Callithrix jacchus: one gene and its partners. The protein of the gene in region 3 binds, or shares a complex with, the protein of the main gene of each other region. Links are inferred from orthologs where the notes say so. Each region holds a gene or a part of one and is shown on either strand. Other genes may lie near its edges. The genes, in order: RLIM, DET1 and UBE2E2.

The links.
Region 1: the proteins of UBE2E2 (region 3) and RLIM are in contact, whole or in part, in a crystal structure (PDB 6W9A), measured with the Homo sapiens proteins. The link is inferred for Callithrix jacchus from reciprocal best matches to the Homo sapiens genes UBE2E2 and RLIM. Residues at the interface, in NP_001357154.1 of Homo sapiens: Lys52, Thr55, Lys58, Arg59, Lys62, Pro112, Asp113, Pro115, Phe116, Ile142, Asn146, Trp147, Ser148, Pro149, Ala150, Leu151, Thr152; in NP_057204.2 of Homo sapiens: Ser571, Val572, Cys573, Ile574, Thr575, Cys596, Arg599, Trp600, Pro608, Ile609, Arg611.
Region 2: the proteins of UBE2E2 (region 3) and DET1 are in contact, whole or in part, in a cryo-EM structure (PDB 9BJZ), measured with the Homo sapiens proteins. The link is inferred for Callithrix jacchus from reciprocal best matches to the Homo sapiens genes UBE2E2 and DET1. Residues at the interface, in NP_001357154.1 of Homo sapiens: Ala77, Gly78, Pro79, Lys80, Gly81, Arg88, Ser89, Thr90, Gly101, Val103, Phe105, Phe123, Arg124, Thr125, Arg126, Ser134, Gln135, Gly136, Gln194, Trp195, Arg198, Tyr199, Ala200, Thr201; in NP_001137546.1 of Homo sapiens: Arg258, Phe259, Tyr261, Asp264, Thr267, Val268, Phe272, Glu274, Asp289, Pro290, Phe291, Ile292, His297, Arg298, Leu300, Val301, Trp304, Arg305, Phe319, Phe320, Gln321, Phe323, Asp324, Arg327.

What each region holds. Positions count from the first base shown.
Region 1 is NC_133524.1:72,260,036-72,263,684, forward strand, and holds part of RLIM (E3 ubiquitin-protein ligase RLIM), read right to left. Parts: intron 2,644-3,649; coding exon 1,034-2,643; 3' UTR 1-1,033. UniProt on the Homo sapiens protein: E3 ubiquitin-protein ligase.
Region 2 is NC_133507.1:17,793,067-17,797,231, forward strand, and holds the start of DET1 (DET1 homolog), read right to left. Parts: upstream 2,869-4,165; 5' UTR 2,727-2,868; intron 2,524-2,726; exon of another isoform or gene 2,429-2,523; intron 574-2,428; exon of another isoform or gene 467-573; intron 1-466. UniProt on the Homo sapiens protein: Component of the E3 ubiquitin ligase DCX DET1-COP1 complex, which is required for ubiquitination and subsequent degradation of target proteins. The complex is involved in JUN ubiquitination and degradation.
Region 3 is NC_133518.1:61,544,590-61,548,238, reverse strand, and holds part of UBE2E2 (ubiquitin-conjugating enzyme E2 E2), read right to left. Parts: intron 973-3,649; 5' UTR 965-972; coding exon 789-964; intron 1-788.

The DNA of each region.
Region 1 (3,649 bases), on a different chromosome or scaffold from region 3:
TCTTTACTCCTCCCATCTTTCACTTCTTGCCTAAATCCAAGTTAAATTATACAGTTTCCAATGGTCTTCAATGCACTTTGATTCTGCACTGTCCTATCCTTTGCATGTCACAGTAGCTGTTCACATACATTAAATATTATAGATATGTTCTGCTCTTGACATCTACACACTTACAAAAGCAGCTTTGTACTTTGTTTGGTGTGTTTGTTACTATGTTGGCTCACAAAAAGCAGTTTCCTCAGTTCTAAGCATGGTACTTTACAATTTTTAATGCAATCATACAACAGTGCATTGGAAAAAAGTACTGAGCCTCTACAAAATAGCTTTACATTTTTAAACAAATGAATGTGATTTTTTTCACTTACACAAGCATAGGCTTTTTAATATTTCCACAAGATAAATATCTCAATTAAACTATAAGCTCACTCTACAGTGTGCCACAGTGATGGGCTTAGGAGACAGTTATACACTTAGATCCTAACCTTAGTGTTATTTACACTGACATGTCCAGTATCACCAACTCTGAAAGGTGAACAAACAATATTCAGAATGCCGCTGAATTTGTGTCAACTAATAACCGGGAATGGTATAGCTTTAATTACTTATGAGACACATACTGTAACTTAGTCTAAACTGGTAATTTCCTTCACCCTTCTCTCCTATGGCGTGGAAAAATTTAAAGATCAACATGAAACAGATAGGAGCCATTGCTAAGGCAGATTTTTTTAAGATAACAAAGGAAAAATTAACAAGTATAATGATAAATTATCAGTAACAGTGATGTTACCAATTTAACTGGTATGGAAATCAGATTTTTAGGTCCTAAAACGTGGCTTTTAAAATATTTCCTTTAAATATTCCTTTTATTCTGGAACAAAAACTGGAGAAAGGACAACGATTCCTTCAGAAAGCAATGACTCAATTCAGGTTGTTACTTTACATTTAAGTACCACTCAAAAAGTGGACATAAAAGCAAGTGATTCCTGTTTGCCCATCACTATATCAGCTACATAGCTGAGAGTTCAGATCTTAATTACACAACACTTTCTCTGTTACCAGAAGCTAAGACTGCTCTGCGACAAATAGGACAGGTAGAATTCTCAGATAACCAGCGATCGATGCAGTGGACATGGTACTCATGGGAACAAGGTAGTTTACGAAGTTTGTTGCCTTCTGTATATTCTGTAATGCAAACACTACAGGTTTTTAATGCATCATTTTCACCAAAACTTCTCATTGCCAAGTTGTCAATCTGTTCTTTGGTGAGTCCTCTAGGTTGGTCATCATCATCCTCATTTAAGAGGAAAAACTGAGCCAAGCTAAGGAAGGGCAAAGAGCCACTTTCATCAAATGTGACGGGGGCCCTATGTCGACCCTCTCGCCTGGCACCTGATGAGCCTGATGATGAGCTTCCTTCATTACTGCCTTCAAATAAATCTGAGCTAGTTTCTGAACTTTCACCACTGGAACTGGAACTAGGACTAGAACTTGAACTGGAACTTGAACTGGAACTGGAACTTGAACTGGAACCAGAACTACTACCACCACCAGAACCCCCTCTCCCACTCCGTGACTCTGACCTTTCTGTATTTCGATTTGGGACTGAGCCACTAGGCTCTGAGTCACTATCACTGTACATAAAATAGCTTAACTCACCAAAACCTGTCATTATCTGCCTTAACATGGTCTGAATTGCAACAGATGTAGTCTCACTTAAACCAGTATTTAAGATTCTACGGATAGGAATTCTGATGGTACTGACATAGGTTCTCACACCTGCCCGCTCAGAACGTGAAAATGTACGCCTAAAACCTCCTCGTTCACTTTCATAAGTGACAGTATTGTTTGGCGTCTGAGACCTAGACCGAGTTCTGCTGGCTATGCTATCTCTCTGCCGATATTCTCCAGGACGAACTCTTCTTACTTGAAGATCAAGGACTATGGTTGGCGGTCTCTGTCCTGATCCCGTAGATTCACCACTGGCAGCTGTGTCTGAAGAACCTGCTCCTTGAGAGGGATTTCTTGTTCCAGAAGCTGCAAAAAGACCTCTACTTAGCAACTCAGGCCCAGATATTTGCTGTCTCAATGTCACATGGTGCCGGGTTCTAGAACTTCCCTCTGTCTCGTTTACCAATGGATGTTCAAAAGTCTGAGATGAGATACTATGATGAGATCTTCGTGGAATTTCACTCATCGGATGCAGAGGTGACCTACTTCTCTCAGCTCTTGCTCTGGTTCTCCGATGGTCTGGGCTCCTGCTTCTTGCCCTCCTCTGACCTCTGGTAGGTGGGACTTCTGTTAATGTTTCAGTTGAATTTCGTTCTGATCTAGATGGCCTTGCAGATGTTGGTTCAGATCGTGGGTTTTCCACTTGCCTTTGGCTGTTGTTTTCCACATTTTCTCCACTAGAACGTCTTGCAGATGGCTCATTTTCATTCTCTGAATTTTGGCTCCCATTATTACGGTTAACATTTATCTCTAAACTGAATCTGAAATCACCACTGTTTGGATTAGTCCGGCTCACTGCTCTCCACGATTGGTTTCCTCTTTGCCCACTTCTTGTTGTATTTCCAGTTTGTCTGACAGAGTTAAGCCAGTCTATTATAGAGTCACCATTAGACACATCATCTGAAGAGTCTCCTCCTGTTCAAAAGAAAGGAGGGGGAGAGGGAGAAAAAGGAACTACTAAAATGAGGACAATCATATAATAAGTGCTCTGAAACTCTGCATTAAAGACCTTAAAAATTCTGAACACATTTCACAATTACGGATTTTTACAAACTACACTGCTCAAATTTATACTTATTTGGCAAAAATATTCTAATTCCATTTGAAAAAAGCAAACTATAGTAGAGAAATTTAGAGAATTATTTGATTTTTAAAGGGAATCTGGAGGATGTCTATTTTCAGTATTTTATCATATACAGAGCTAAGCATACCACTGTGGGATGGTCAGAAGACATTTTTTCAGCCCTCTGCCAAAACACTAATGTAATCAAACTAGGTAAGGAAACAGTGGTTAACAAACAGTCATATTTAGTTCAAGCTACATTTTTGTCAAGTTTTCATTACTTCTAGGCTTTTGACTTATGTGTCTTTGATAACACTTGAGGTTGTTTCAAAATACAGGACTATTGTAGCCACAGCAAAAATATAAACAAAATTTACAGGTTTAAAAGCACTTGAATATTTCTTAGTATTACCAAGATTTTCAATGGACATGATATTAAATATCAGATCAAATAAGTAGTCTGCACTTTGGATAGCATATATAATGGCATGTTCAAGAACCAAATTATTATCGTAGCCTCTGAAGTTACACAATCAAAATCCCTACTTGACACTGGGAGGGAAACACCAGACCTGAGGTTAGAGCAGGATTTCTCAACAGTGGCACTACTGACATTTCAAGCCAGTTAATTCTTTGTCATGGGGCTACGTTGTGCATTAAGGCACGTCAGGATGTTTGGCAGCATTTCTGCCCTCTACACACTAGACGCCTGTGGCAGATTCCCAGTTGTGTCAACCAAAAGTGTCTCTGGACGTTGCCAATGTCCCATATGGGGCAAAATTACATCTCATTAGGAACCACTGGGTTTAGACAACTTTTTTTTTTTTGCTGGTGAAAAAGTTCACATTTATAAAAAAG
Region 2 (4,165 bases), on a different chromosome or scaffold from region 3:
AACGGAGACAAGTATGCCGAGGCAGCTGTAGTCACCCTAGAGCGGGTTATCTGGGCCCAGGCTCTCCCACACAGGACCTCAGCCCAAAAGGCAGAACTCATAGCTCTAACAAATGCCTTGGACTGGGCAGAGGGAAAAACTGTCAACATCTACACTGATAGCCGATATGCCTTTGCTATGGCCCATGTACACGGAGCCATTTATAAAGAAAGAGGGCTGCTTACCTCAGAAAGAAAAGTCATCAAAAGCAAAGAGGAAATCCTAGCCCTACTAGAGGCTATATGGAAGCCCAAGGCAGTGGCATTAACACACTGCAAAGGACACCAAAAGGGAGATTCACCAGAGGCAAGGGGAAATAGAGCAGCTGACCTGCAAGCCAGACAGGCAGCCTTGGGGCCAGTAAAACCTCTGACTCTTCTTGTGACTCTGCCGGCCCCAACCCTGCCCCCTACCCCTATGTACTCACCTGATGAAGAAAACTTTGCTAAAGAACAAGAGGGATGACAAGATTCCACAGGATGGTAGACTCTACTGGACACGAGGATTGTGCTCCCAGAGGCTCTAGGGTGGACTCTAGTTAAGGACACACACCAGGCCACACACTTAGGACAAACAAAACTCACTGAGCTACTGAGGGCCAGATACTGCATTCCACATTTACATGAAATTGTTAGGGAAACTATTACTTGATGTGATGTGTGTGCCAGGGTAAACCCAGGAGGCAGTAAGTCTAGTCAGGCAGAGATAAGACTTAGGGGTACTAGCCCAGGGAAACACTGGGAGGTAAATTTTACTGAAATAAAGCCCCCAGCATGTGGCTATAAATACTTCCTTGTGTTTGTAGACACTTTCCCTGGATGGGTCGAGGCTTTTCCTACTCGGTCAGAAACTGCACTGGTAGTAACCAAAAGACTGTTACAGGACCTGGTTCCTCAGTTCAGCTTGCCCCTGACACTGGGATCAGATAATGGCCCTGCGTTTACAGCACAGGTTTCTCAGGGCCTGGCCAAAGCCCTGGGCATATCCTGGAAACTACATTGTGCCTATCGCCCCCAGAGTTCAGGGCAGGTTGAAAAGATGAACCGGACCATAAAGTAGACTTTAACAAAATTCATTCTAGAGACCAGTGAAAACTGGGTTAACCTGCTTCCTTTTGTTCTCCTCCGTACCCGATGTACTCCCTATAAAAAAGGCTTCACTCCTTTTGAAATTATGTTTGGAAGGCCCCCTTCCTTACTCCCCAAACTTGCTGACACCATACATGCTGAAGTCCATAATCATACACTCCTTAAGTCCTTGCAGGCACTCCAGTCTGTTCAGTCCCAGGTGTACCCACTCATCAGGGAAATTCAACCTACCCCAGTGGACCTCACTGACCAGCCACTCCACCCCTTCCAGCCCAGGGACAAAGTCCTGGTAAAGAGATTCACCACATCTGGCCTAACTCCTCGCTGGAAAGGACCCTACACCGTGATCCTGATCACTCCCATGGCAATCAAGGTGGACAGACTGCCTGGATCTACCATGCACATGTCAAGACTGCCCCCCCTGGACACACAATGGAGTGACCTCAGCTTCAGCAGGCCACCTAAAGCTAAAACTTTCGCACTCCTCGCAGTAACCTTCCTTGTCCCCCTGATTCCTGGTGTAGCCCCCTCGGAGAGGGGCTTGACTCCCACCTATTACTGGTGGGTCCTTACTAAAAGATCCACTGGAGGGTATGTTAGTTCCTTAATTGAAAAGGGATCCAAAAAGAGAAAAACTATTAAAGATTTAATACATGTTAAAAGAACAGGGGGGAAGAATGTGCTATAGCGGGCCTTGAGTTAGAGCCTGAGCAATGTCATTTTATAAGACAAAGCTGTTTTTTCCAAAAATAAGTTGTACTGTCCCATTCTTCTTGCAATAACTGCTGACCTTGGCTTCTGTAAACAAAACTGCTAGCTTGCTCTAAAGAACGTACACTGCTTGCCTTTGTCTTAACAGTAACTGCCTGGCCTTTGCTTATCAGTAGTTACTGTAAAGTTGCTTGCCCTGCATCCACTATGTGGTTTTTCAGCTTATATACCCTGATCCCCCTGAGTTCGGGGCCACGGGTTGGAGAGACGTGAGTCCTCCGTGGTCGCTGGCAATAAAGAGCCTGCAATTTGGCATACTTTTGTCTTGGTTATTTCAGTCTCGCATCCAATACTTCAACAGGACTCGCCATTATTATTATACTTTGTCTTCTCCATAGTAATCGTCGCAAGTTGTATTTATACTTTCATTTGCATGGTTGTGTTTAATCTGATTCCCTTGCTAACCTGTACTCTGCAGACAAGAGGTAACCAGGTCACCCGGTATTCTCAGAGCCTGGCACTGGGGCTGGCACACCGCTGGCGTTTGGTACCAGTTCAGAAAGCCTGACTGAATTGGGACTCTAACTCACTGTGTGGTACTTAGTCCATTTCCTTTGCTGGGCCTCAGTTTGCCTACGGGGGAAGGTGTGTATGTCCCTCAATTCCTAGCGACCGCCTCTAAAACGAGAAGGGGATGCCAAGGGGCGGGCATACATGCCCAAAGGGGCGCCCCCGGAAAGAAAAGCCCGGGGCGGGGCCTCAATGGGAAGAGAATTCTGAGGGAGGGTGGGGGCTGCGGGCCTCTAAGTATCGGCGTCATGCGGGGAGGAGCCTGCTGGGGAGGGTCTGATGGGCGTGGAGGCTGGGCCAAAAATGGTAAGTCCTCACCTGTCTTGTCCAGGCTCAAAGAGCCAAGGAGAAGGATGCCCCAGCCTGTTCCGTGCGCGCCTCCCCCTGCCCCGCCCCCGCCATGCCTCAGGACCCCAGCGCCGGGCTGCAGGTTCCCATTTCCGCCAGCCACCGGAAGTGCAGCCCAGCAAGGAGGGAAGTAGAAGAGAGCGCAGCACTGTTCAGCCAACACTAAGAGACGTGTACAGCGCACCCTGGTGCCTGGAGGAGGGATCGAAGCCATAGAGGCTTAGTGGCAGCGGAAGAAAAATTAACGTAGTACCTAACCTGGGCATCTCTGACAGTTCCAACAACAGTGTCTCTGTGCCTGCAGAGCACATTTGAAATATATGAATAGAATTAATCTTTCACCTTTTGATTAGATGCTGAGAAACTACCTACTATGTTATCTTCTAGATAGTGAGCCCCTTGAAGACTGAGATTGTATTGATCATCTCTGACTAGCAAGGAATGTGCCTTGCTAGTGTTCAGATGGAGTGGATTTTTAAATGGTGTCACTCTGGCTCTCCTAGGCTCCTGTTTTTATAACAAAAAGATCTTCAACATCATTAGTTATCAGAGAAATGCAAATCAAAACCACAGTGAGATACTACTTTGTACCCCTTAGGATGGCTAGAATACCTTTAAAAGAAAAACATCACATACTGGTAAGGATGTAGAGAAATCAAAAGCCTCATATGCTGCTTCTGGGAAGGGTGCAGTTACTGTGGAAAACAGTTTAGCCGTTTCTCAAAGTTAAACATGAAGTTACTATTTGACACAGAAATACCTCTAGGTATATAACCAAGAGAAATTAAAACGTGTCCACACCAAAACTTGAACACAAGTGTTCATAGCAGTATTATTTATACTAGATAAAATATGTAAACAACCTAAGTGTCCATCAGTAGATGAATGGATAAACAAAAGGCTGTATATTCATACAATAGATATTGTTCAGCATTAAAAGAGGATGAAGTACCGATACTTGCCACAGCATGAGGAACCTTGAAAACATTCTGCTAAGCGAAAGAAGCCAGACACAAGAGGTCACATGTTATATTGCTCCACTTACATGAAACATCCAAGATAGGCAAATCTCTAGAGACAGAAAGTAGATGAGTAGTTGCTGGGGGTAAGTGAAAAGGAGAATTAGGAGTTATTGCTTGTGGGTATGGGGTTTCTTTTTGGGGTAATAAAAATATACAGAAGTAGATAATGGCAATGGTTACACATGTCTGTTAATATACTCAAACCGTCTGAATTGTACTTTTTTTTTTTTTTGAGACAGAGTTTCGCTCTTGTTACCCAGGCTGGAGTGCAATGGTGCGAGCTCACCGCAACCTCCGCCTCCTGGATTCAAGCAATTCTCCTGCCTCAGCCTTCCGAGTAGCTGGGACTACAGGTGCACACCACTATGCCCAGCTAATTTTTTGTAT
Region 3 (3,649 bases):
CATTCTGACATTCCACTATGCCTAAAAGTTAGACTACTTTTATTTGTACTTCCTATTCGATCAATATAAAACATACAATAACAAAGCAAGAACATAAAATCACAGAATCAGGAAAGACACTATATTTATCTTTCAAATTATTTTCCAAGAGATATTCTATAATGTAACAATATCAAAACAGATTCCCTTTAAGTCCAATGACATGTCAATTATCTTAAGAGACTGATGTACCAACAGAAAATCATTCAAATACCTACTTTCCAGATCCATCTATTCCTCTAGAGAAAGAGAAACTGTGTATCAAGACAGACCCACTGACTAATGTAATGAAACCAAGATGCACTTGTTGCTAATGTCAGCATTTCTGACTTTACCAACTGAGAGTAGTGGAAAATAAACTATCATTCACTCAATAACTACTTCAATAGATTCTTAATCTCTATTCTGTGTTACTGAACAGGAAAAAAAAATTTATGGTCAAGTAACTGTAAATGAAACCACTGCAATTTTACATGCACATCCTGTATATGCTTCCTTAATGATACACAAAAACACAAACATACTATGGATATGTATTTTATGAATCTGCCATGCCATTTAACTGACTTTAAATACTTAAGTTCCCTATGGTTAAAACCATGTAAAAAAGATCGTCTGTAAGGGGAAAGAAAAATCCATGAAGTTCATGGCTTAAATATCCCGGAAAAAATGATTAAATGCAAAAGAAAAGTAGAACTTAAGATGATAAACTGATACCAAAAATAAAAAGGTTACAATAACTGAGGTACCTTTTAGCACTAGTTGACAACTTAGCAGCGGTTTTGCTGGATATTTTTCCCTCCTTTTTCTTGGGCTGAACTTGTTCTCTTTCTGGTTCTTGCTGAACACTTTCACGTTGATCTCCATCGGAACTTCCTCCACTAGTGCTTGGACTGTCATCAACTCTTTGTGCCTCAGTGGACATTTTAGATCCTAGATTAAAGAATCAAAAATCATTTATTCCGCTGTGAGGAGAATTACAGTACGCTACTTCCATGACACACAGAATGAGCCTCAAAGAAAACAAGTAAATCTCAATATAAAATGGATAAATTGGTCATTTACAAAACAATGCAGTTTTGAGAGTTGCTATAACTTTTCTTTCATCCATTCAAAGTATATTGTAAAATGAAAGCATACAAAATTTATACATGAAATGTTCACAGCGACATTATTCATAATAACCAAAATTGGAAACAACTCAAATATCCACTAAGGGATGAATGGATAAACAAAATGTAGTAGTATATCCACATAATGTACTATTAGCCATAAAAAAGAATGAAGTACAGTGTCTACGTGCTACAAAATGGATGAACCTTGAAACATTATCGTAAGTGAAAGAAGCCAGCCACAAAGGACCACAAACTGTTTGACTATTTATATGAAACGTCCAGACTAGGCAAATCCATAAACACAAAATTCAGTAAGCAGATCTCATGCCTGTAATCCCCAATGCTTTGGGAAGCCCAGGCAGGAACAGCCTGGGCAACATAGTGGGACTCAATCTCTACCAAAAAAAAAAAAAAAAGATTACTATCACTGCATTCCAGCCTGAGTGACAGAGTAATACCCTGTATCAAAGGAAACAAAATTAATAAAAAAAATAAAGAGGGTAAGTGGTTGCCAGGGAGTGAGGGGAGGGAGAGTAGTGAGGATTGACTGCTAATGGGTATGATACTTCCCTTTGGGGTGATATAAATGTTCTTAAATTAGATAATGGTAACATTGCATGATTCTAATTGTAAATATTCTAAGAACTACAGAGTTTTACATTTTTAAAGGGTAAATTTTATGGTATATGAATTACATATAATAATGCTGTTATAAAAAATAGGAAAAAAATGATTAAGGGTCTACTCTCTACCTGGTGCTGTGCTAAGCCCTTTGGTCCTACAACTATGAAAAACCTGGCCCAGTCAACTTGCTAAGTACTAAAACGAAGGTTTGTACAAAAAGCTGTGGGAACAGAAAAATGGGTGGACACTTAAAAATCCCTATTCAAATCAGTACATCCTCAGCACTGGGTTATGGTTAAAATTCTCCAAACTAGTAAATTATTTTAAGTGACCTTTGCAATAACAGATGAACACAAAGGTCTACATGACTGCATGATTCTAAATAAAAACTGAACCGTATGATGGTGTCAGCATTGATTCAGCTGTATACTAAAGCAACCATTTTTCATAAGAGATGGAGACGCTGAAGAATTTTTTTTTTCACAGTCCGGTTAAAATATTCCTCAAGGCTTTCAAATTCCCTCTCCTCTGAGTTCATGCTCCCCGAGCAGCTCTGATTACCAACTCAATTTCCGAAATACCTTGATATTTAGGTAGCTGTTATAACCTAGACAGCAGACACAATTCCTGTAAGTGAAAAGGAATATCTCTTCTCAACTGCCATTCTATCATAATCAATTTCTGAGTTTGATTACTATGAATACATCCCTTATGAGCTAACTAGCTTAGAGTATTCTGACAAATCCAGAACGGAACCAACAAAACCTATGTCCAGACTCTAAAAGGCCTTGTGCTTACCACGGTTTATCACCTAATAATCACTTTGAGCACTGTATAGCTACCTTCTCAGACACCTCTTTGAAAACAAAACTACCTATGCTTAACAAGTACCATTAACACAAAATACACCTTTAAAAATTATAGGTACACTGAACAAATTCCTTTTGAAATGGATTCTTTTGATTAATCAAATTAGAAGTTCAAATAAAACTGTTTCTGATATGATCAAGAATAAGAATACATAAAAATACTTCAAATAAAGCAAAAATTTTAATTACTATAATTTAGTCCAAATAGATAGCTATTTGACACTAATTAAAATTCATCATTAACAAAGATTTAACTTGTAGCTTGCTCTAAGCAAAAGCAATGTTGTAACATGGATCTTTAATGGATTGAAATTTTTATAAGACAAATCAGAAAGCAATGAAAAGAATGGAAGCATCAGGAAGCATAGAGAGGCAAAGAGTCAAAAGAAAACAGTGAATGCTTTCACTGACACACCACATACACCACCACCAGCACCCCTTCAACTACAACAGCTCCCCATGCCAAACAAAAACAGGTCTGCCCCAACAGTTCTGAAACACACTAACGGAAAAGCTGACTACTTTTCTACCTATTCTGTAAATGAAGAGCATCAGTCTCTACAGCTGTGACATCTTTTATGAGCACTAAAGTCACTTAATAGAATGCTGAAATTTTATATCAGTATGTTTCACCGCTAGCTCTAAAAATCGTAACATATTTCTTGCTTTTTTTCAGTTTTATTTCACTCTAAATTCTTATTCTTGGATTTAACATTGTTTTTCTTTCACCTTACTTCTTTCAGTTAAATTTTATCAGATGTTTGAAACCTTGAAAGTATGTACATAATAGCATATCAGATAGGGTGGCATGCATGGGAGTGAAAAAGAGAACAATACTCAGGGAAAGGTGCTCAGATACAGCAAAATGCTGCCAGCAATACCTTAAGAATTGTGAAATGAGACATCATTTTATACATTTTAAACCACAAGCAATCCATTACATGACAAATATATGGGAACCTCAATGAAATAATATTCTCTACACTGAGGCTGCAGCTTCAG